Arabidopsis thaliana: one gene and its partner. The protein of the gene in region 2 interacts with the protein of the main gene of each other region in a pairwise test. Each region holds a gene or a part of one and is shown on either strand. Other genes may lie near its edges.

Region 1 (4,379 bases), 970 kb from region 2:
AAATCACAAGGCCACAAAATTACTTAATGCAATTTAGTAAACTTCGAAATAAATAACTCTATGCTTAATCTTGAGGTTACATAGCAATTTGCAAGTCACATCATTACAAAAGGGATAAACATCATATATCAACGCAAACTCCAAACAGATAAACAATCAAACTGTTTTTCAATGGCGTAACTACAATATGAATAAGTAAAATAATTATGTAACACTCTATAAAAGTTAACTCATCATTATCAAACATTTCGCAGACAATAAAACAATATCGAGTTAAAACCACATAAAGGAGATATATTGGATTGAACATAGAGAAATGGGAGATGTCAGATAAATTGCCAAATAGAGTTTTTGAGGTCATGATGAAACCATTCGCACATCTAATTGAATCATCATCCATTTACCATTCCTCCAAATTACAGAAAAAAGAGTTGACGGCGAAGTCAGATTATAAAATGCCAAATAAAGTTTTTGAGCTCATGATGAAACCATTCGCACATCTAATTGAATCATCATCCCTCGCCGTTTTTCACTTCAAAGAAACAACCAACGTAACAAAATTAAACGATCGTGCAGTCTGAAAAACAATTCCTCAGATTACAAGAAACGATGCTGCAGATTATAAAAAACACAAAAAAAAAAAACTAAATTGCAGAACAACCAACCCTAGACGATGACGGCTAATAATAATCGCAAGGATATATATATGAAAGGGGTCTCTTTTAAAATTACGCTTCTACCCTTATGAAGTTCATGGGCTTTTATTATCTGAAGGGCCTTCGGACATTATTTCATGACCACGTGTTACAGTTGAACCGTTCTTTGTTAATCTCTCGAAGCTAATCTAGGGATTAGGGAACATTCACAATGATGAATTAAACTTTTTCCTAAACATGCGAAACAAAATATTTTGGCACTTAGTTTCAGGAAAAGATTCACAGTGATGAATAAAACTTTTTACAAACATTGAGTGATACAAAGCTTTACAAAAAGAGGGAGAAGAACACAACTTTCTTAACCACTCATAGTAACCTCATCTTTTCTTCACACTCTCTTTCTCATACGAATCCAATTAGTAATTCACGAGCAGCAACATCTACGTTACCAGTCATCATCGAGACTAGCCCGGTGAAAACACATGACAGTGCAAATGAATATGAAGAATGATGTGAACTCTATGAGCATTGCACCTGTCTCGATCATCTGTGCGTGCCTTAAGATGATTGGGATAGCAAGGCTTCCCACGGTCGATGCTCCGGTCAAGAACTTCGCTGCGTCTATCCACCTGCGTTTTATGGACGAGCCAATTTGGTAATCGATCTTTCGTTTAACTCAAAGAAGCAATAAAGTCTCTAGTAACTAACCCTCCACCGTCCCGACTAATAAGGAATTGGGTTGAGCCTCCTCCAAAGAACATACAAGGCATAGGCACCACTACATACATGAGTGCTGATAGCATTGGCCACCAGTTACCATATATCGCGCATGCCTGACCATTATGAACAAATAGTTATCACTATATCTCCCAGATGACTATAACACGTGTTACTCATTGCATGGTATAACCAGGTATACCAAAGGAAATCACAAAATATGGGAAACGTATCAGATTTGTAAATCAGATGATCCTTTCTTCTTCTAATCGAAGTGCAAAAAAAAAAAAAAACTATACCTATACAAGGACCTGATATAAGCTGAGGAGAGAAGATGCTTGAGTTTATAGAAGTTGTTCAGAAAGTCTAAGTCAATTAACAAGTTAGACATTGAGGTCGGCTAAGGACCCCAGCTTACCATATGCTCCGGTCAAATAGTGTTGTAAGGATAAGAATTCTAAGTGTAATTTTGGTTTTTGGGATCCAGAGATCGCTAGTCAACATACTACAAGAGAGTAAAGCTCAAAACTTCAAATATGAAAGAAGGTTTGAATGTAACAAACTTTACTTCACAGAGTATCTCTCCCAGTAAAACGGGCCAAAAGACTCACAACTCTGTTTGCTACATCAACAAGGGTACAAAAGGAGACCAGTATACTCAGCTCACAACCTAACAGCAGAACTAGCTAACCATCTCTTGCAGGATTTAAAGCTACTAAGTCATGATCTTATGATCAAGCTTCAAGGGTTATAAGCAGATAGCTATATTCAGAAACGTACCAGGATCTGTAGGAGGATACTAGATGAAAACATGAAAGCAAGTCCAGCAAGTCTGTGCAATCAAGAAAAATAAAATCTGTAAGATCACGACACACGAGAATACACTGGCAGATGTAACAACAAGGGTAATTAAAGAGCATCAAGTCTTAGAACTTACACTGTACCAAGAAAGCAATTTGAGCATTCCAGAAGAAATCAGCATCGGAAAAAATTTAGAAAAGAGCAAACAATGAGTGAGTTTGAACAATGCAAAACCCAGAAACCCTAGCTCACAAAATTAAACAATTCACGAAGCACAAAATAACTATAATCTGAGTAAATCAATACCAATCTCTAATACGTATGGAATATATGAACATAGAGCAAGGGAGAAAAGTAAAAGGGGAAAATCGACTTGAATCTGATTCGATTCCGTCGGGAAATGATACAGTTGGAAGATAGGTGATTGATTACCTTCGATGGTCATCGCCATGTCGGCGAATGAAAATGTTCTGATTACCGGAGATCGAGTCTTGAATGATCGCCGGTGACGATAAAAGAGAAGGTGATGATTTCGTTGTTCCCCTTAGAGAGATACAGAAGGAGAGAGCCCAGAGAGGAGTCGCGATTTGAGAGCAAAATGAAAATTAGTGACCGGTCAAAATTGGTTTTCTCACCGTTCATCGATTTCATCTTTTTGGTTTGGTTGGTTTATTTTGGTTATAATTGGTTTCCAGGATTGTGGTTTTGATAATACAGCTAGTAGTCGATTTTAAAATATCACAAACTAAATGACATGAAAAAAAAATTACGATCAAAATTTGGGTTGCAAGGACCACATAAAACTCATTCCTAAATCATACGTAATAAAAATGATTTTATAACTGAAATTTTTAACCAAAGTTCATACCAATCATCAAAATATGTGAAATGCTAAATATTTTTTTCTTTTCATTTTTTGTTATTTAAATGCAATCAACTATGATTGAAACTGCATCAACGAAAAAGTATTATTAAACTATTAAGCAACCATAAGTTGAGTTGATTCGTTTCCATAATTTTAGTTAGAGTACGTAAATCTCCATCATAATACACTATCTATGCTATCATTGTTTGTTTTTTTTTTCTTTTTTTTGCTAAGAATGTAAATATCATTAGAAATGAAATGTTTGGTATTACAAGAGACGTATTACCTAAATTAAATTAACCTTGGCAAAAAGAAATAAAAACAAGGTTAAGATAAAGAGTAGTTAATCAGGAGAGATTAATGGATCCAAAGTAGCATAAGTTGTTTCCAATGCTTTCTATGTCTTCGAGAAGTAATGGTATTGCGCACCTCACGATCTATGCTATCATGGTTGGTGCGTTTATGACATGCTGCTGCTGGTGACGATTCAAAAGTGTTTATCAGTTGTTCATTATGATGCCATTGTGATGTACCATTACTAATTTCTTACTTAAATAAGGTGTTGTTTTTTGTTTTGCTCCAAATAATAAGGTGTTGTTTAAAAGGGGCTCTTTCGTTTTGGAGTAAAAGTCTCTCTGAGTAGCTGTATATTATTTAAGTAGCATAGTCCAATTATTTGACAATGAAAAAAAGTGTATAGTCCAATGAATACCAAATGAATTGACGTCACCACTAGTTGAGACCTGAGACAAGCAAGTGATCGTTAAATCAAGGAGAACGCAAGTGGACGAGGCCGACATGATCCTAACTATTGGACTCCCACTTGTGAAACTTACTTGATCCATTTCCCACTTCATAATTTCGTAAAAAAATTAAGACAATGAGAATGAATTTATTTATTTATTTTTCGGTAGAACAATGATTTTTATTTTGTCCAAATAAAACAATCGTGAAAAATTATGTTTTGGACATTATCAACTTTGTGAGTAAAACAAATTTTGTAGTTTCTTTTAACCAATATTTTCGAAGTCAACTTTTTTCTACGTGTGAGTGTATTGAGTAAATGATAGATATGTCAATAATAACATAACTCATCAATCAATCTGGCTTCAATAGAACTAGAGAAGTTATAACGTTTTTTTTTTTTTAGACAAGAGGGTTTTATAACTCTAGACTAGTTTCATAGTCCATGAAAAAAACATCAAATCTCCTAAATGGCTGGACATAATTCAGATGATTTTGTATGAAATAAAACATAAAACATATATTTTCTTGCATATCTGGAGATTTTTGTTTCTTTATTACAATGACTAATTAATTTACCTTGTTCCTTTTTATTT
Region 2 (3,963 bases):
TTAGAATCATCCTTATGCTTGTAAACAGTAACCTTGGGAGTTTCATGAACTCTCTTGCCTGTTTTTGGATCTACTTTACAAGGATCGTATCCTGTAGAGAAATAGGCGACGATCGGAGAGATTCTATCGGGTCTCTCGGCGACTTGCGTGACTTTGAGAGTAACTCTCTTGTCTTCTTCGTTTTCATCCTCTGTTTCCGTTGCTATTTTTTTCCCTTTCCTTTGCTTCTTTTGTAGTTGTTGTGGTGTATTGAAATCTTCTTCCTCGTTTCTATAATCATTCTTCTCTTCGCCTTCCATGGCTACTGAGGTTTGGATTCTTTTAGTCTATCGAAGAAGCGGCAGCGATTCAGAGAAGGGTTTACTGGAAACTCACTAAATGCTTAAACCCTAATTTGGTTATGTTTCGGGAATTTATTACATAACAGACCCTTGTTGTTTGTCCGAGTCGATAAAGAAATCTTCACAGTTTTTTTTTTTGACCCCAAACTTTTAATTTGTTTAGAAAGATCTACACCGTTATAACGACGTCTACGGACTACGGAATCTAAACCCTGGCTTTTTCTCTTAGCTAAAACGACACGTAGTTCGCCTGAAACTTAGAAAACAAACACACGCTGTTTGCAAAGATCCCAATTTACATTGATCTACCTCCAAAGTATCTAAACTCTTCTTTAAAGCTTTGGCCACATAACCTTCTTTTAAGTTTTTTTTAACTATGGATTCTATTATCTTCTAATTTTTTCATCATTTCTAGACCAAGTTTCTATGCTGGAACAAATGTAAAATTTTGATCCAAGTACACCAAATTCTTAGTTCGTTTTTAATATAGATATTTCAGGTTAAGTGTATATTGGACTGATATCATCACAACTAGTTTTCACTTTTGACAGTGGACTACTATCGGATCGGTTATTCTTTGATTAGGGTTCTTTAACACGTTCTCTCTCTTTTTTTCGAGTCCAAAATAAAGTCTTGTCGTCCAACTAGCTAGCGTAGGATTTGGTGAACTTGGATACATATATTTTTATTCGTCGTCAAACTTACCTAGCAACAAAACAAGTAATGCTGTACTATTTTATTTTATTTTGATAATCACCTGATCACCTTACCCAGATACATATTTAAGCTGACGTATCAAATATTTGTGTAATATTATATGAGTAACATTTGCAGGTATGTATATCTAATAAAAAATTTAAGAAAAGAGTAAATCGTGGTGTGTGATGTTGATGTACGACCACAGTTTTCTTATGCCACTTACAACTTTTGTAATAGTTGAACATAAAAGAGCTAGCGTTGTGGATAGATAGATGAAAATTAATCTATACAATCGATTAATTAACATTGCCAATATTCAACCACTAGATCATGACTCTGTTACTTGTTAGTAGCTTAATTTATCATTATGTTGAAGATTTTATATGTACTAATGTCACTGTTCACTGTTGCGCAATTAATTAATGTTCTAGTTTTTTTCTCCGCAATTAACTAATGTTCAACTTCAACTTAATTTTGGTTTGTTGAATGGTATGCAACGACTGTTCTTTATCCGCTATATATCTTTATCTTTTTATACCACAAGTCGTATAAGTCATTAGATACAATGACAAGATGACAAATGTAGTACTATGAAAGAAAAGACACGTTGAAAGAAGAGTGACACAAATGAGAGATATGATCTCCCAGAGTCAAATTTGAGGTCTTGCGATTCTCCTATAAACCTCAAAAACTCTATTTAGTTAGAAATATATAAAAAATAACGACGACGCTTCTTCCCTAATGTCGCTATCGTTGACTGACTTGATCAGAATCATATAGTTCTCAAAGAGTAGGTTTTTAATTCCCGTACGTGATCAACAAACAAATGGTTTCAAATTAGACTTTTGCTGATCAAACCAGAAATTTCTATCTCCCTTTCCTTTTTTAAAAAGACTCGTTCTTTTTTTTCCTTTATAATCTCGACAAAGAGAGAAGTTACATATATAAATTTTAAGAATTATAACTCTTTTGTAAAGCATTCATCGCTTCAAATCATGGAGATCAACGGTCAAGAAGGTCATCGATACGAAGAATCATCATCAGAGTGGTTCGTAAAGTATCTAAAACGTCAAGGCGATTGGTTAGAGAAAACTAGAGGGAATCTTATGGTTACAGCTACGGTTATAGCCGGTATGAGCTTTCAAGTTATGGTTAATCCTCCCGGTGGCGTATGGCAAAGTGACAATTGTTCTTTCGGAAATCAAACCGGAACCGCACCGTTTTGTAAGGGGAGAGCGGGAACTGCGGTATTGGAATATGAGAGTTCAAAGCGTATAGCGTATATTGGGATGATTATTAGCAGTACAGTGTCATTTTCTACCTCAATGAGTCTCATTCTCCTTGTCATCAGCGGTATACGACTAAGGTACCAATAAATAAACTATATGTGCAACTCCATATAACAAGGCTACTTAGTATGTAAATTATTATAACTTGTTTGTATGTTAAGTCTGGAATTTTTATGTAACGCTTGTGTTTGACAAGATATTACTGAGAACTAAAAATAGTCATCTAAATTGAGATCTTGGTGTTGACTTTCGGTTTTAAGTATACCAACTATGTCGGCACAATGGTTGACTTAACATTAGCTATTTCAACAAAACTGGTCTGATTGGTAAAAATACTAATTCGATCGCTATTTGATTGGACTTTAAAACTATGGAAAGTTGATGACATATATCATAGTTATCTAATGGAATTTTGGTACACTCAGAATAAGTAGAGAAATTGTTTGGTATTAGAATAAACTAAAAGACACTTATATGATGATATAATTGTGTATATGAAGGAACCGGATGATAATGGCTATCCTCGGAACATTTATGGTGGTGGCGGTTCTTTGTATATCAGCGGCGTTCTTCTTCGCCATCGTGCTGGTTCAATCCGACGATCAAATAATTCGTTATATACTATTGATTTATGTGGGATTTTGGGTTGTATTTCCTGTTTTGATACTTTTAATCCAACTTGTTCGATTTATAGGTTGGCTTATTTGTTTCATGTGTTGTTGTTGTTGTCCACGTCGGCGACGGTTCCATTAGGGAGAGGTCCCATTAAGAAGAGAAGGAACCCGTGTTTCGAACCCACGTATGAATTTGGAACTTGATGTAGGAAAGTGATACTAGAATAAAAGTCTCCCAAGGACATTGTTATAACGTTTATTAATTCTATGGGTTATTTTTAAACTGTTTAATAAATGCATTTGATTATGTGAATCTTGGCAATTGTGTGGGTTGGTTTGTTGTAAAGTTAATTAATTGCGTGGGTTTGTACTGTTTAATAAATTCGTTTGATTAAAAATTGTATGTTCAAATAATGTGAATCGTGGCAATATCGCCTTGTGAATCGTGATTGGTGAACGATCGTGGTAATTTTTTTTTTTGCCAATAGTTATTCTTACCATGATCTTAGTCCAAATCGCTCGTATAACACAGTAATAAATAAATACAAAAAAAAAGAACAAAGAAAACAAACTAGAATGCGGTGCACACTAGAATGAAACATTACAAAAAACGATTGTGAGCATCTCGTTAATGGGAGAGATTAATATATCCGGAACAAAGCAATAAATATTTTCTCAAAAAAAAGAAGATATAATCATCTCAAAAAAAAAACAAGATAATTCTTTTGACGTAGAATATATAGTAAATAAAAAAACGTGGAATATAGCAATGTTTCATATATATATTCGTAAATCGTTGATTTTTATGTGATTGGATGGATGATGAAGCAAAAGTATTATATTCCCTTATATAAAACGAAGAATATCGTAAAGAACCCTCGAGGCCTAAAAGATGGTTAGGGTATAGACTATAGGCTATAGTATTAACATGTCAATTGTAAATGTCATGAAACTGAAAAAAGAAATAGGGAAAAGTGAGTCAAAGGGAGAAAAGGAGGTAGGTCTCTTGCCCTATAATAT

Evidence for each region.
Region 1: the proteins of AT3G13950 (region 2) and AT3G11530 interact in a protein complementation assay, tested with the Arabidopsis thaliana proteins (one large-scale study listed by BioGRID).

The regions. Positions count from the first base shown.
Region 1 is NC_003074.8:3,627,700-3,632,078, forward strand, and holds AT3G11530 (Vacuolar protein sorting 55 (VPS55) family protein), read right to left. Parts: upstream 2,838-4,379; 5' UTR 2,311-2,837; intron 2,206-2,310; 5' UTR 2,187-2,205; coding exon 2,154-2,186; exon of another isoform or gene 1,490-2,153; coding exon 1,365-1,489; intron 1,286-1,364; coding exon 1,102-1,285; 3' UTR 831-1,101; downstream 1-830.
Region 2 is NC_003074.8:4,602,114-4,606,076, forward strand, and holds AT3G13950 (ankyrin), read left to right. Parts: upstream 1-1,771; 5' UTR 1,772-2,035; coding exon 2,036-2,406; intron 2,407-2,829; coding exon 2,830-3,082; 3' UTR 3,083-3,400; downstream 3,401-3,963. Other genes in the region: AT3G13940 (DNA binding / DNA-directed RNA polymerase), read right to left, coding at 1-299.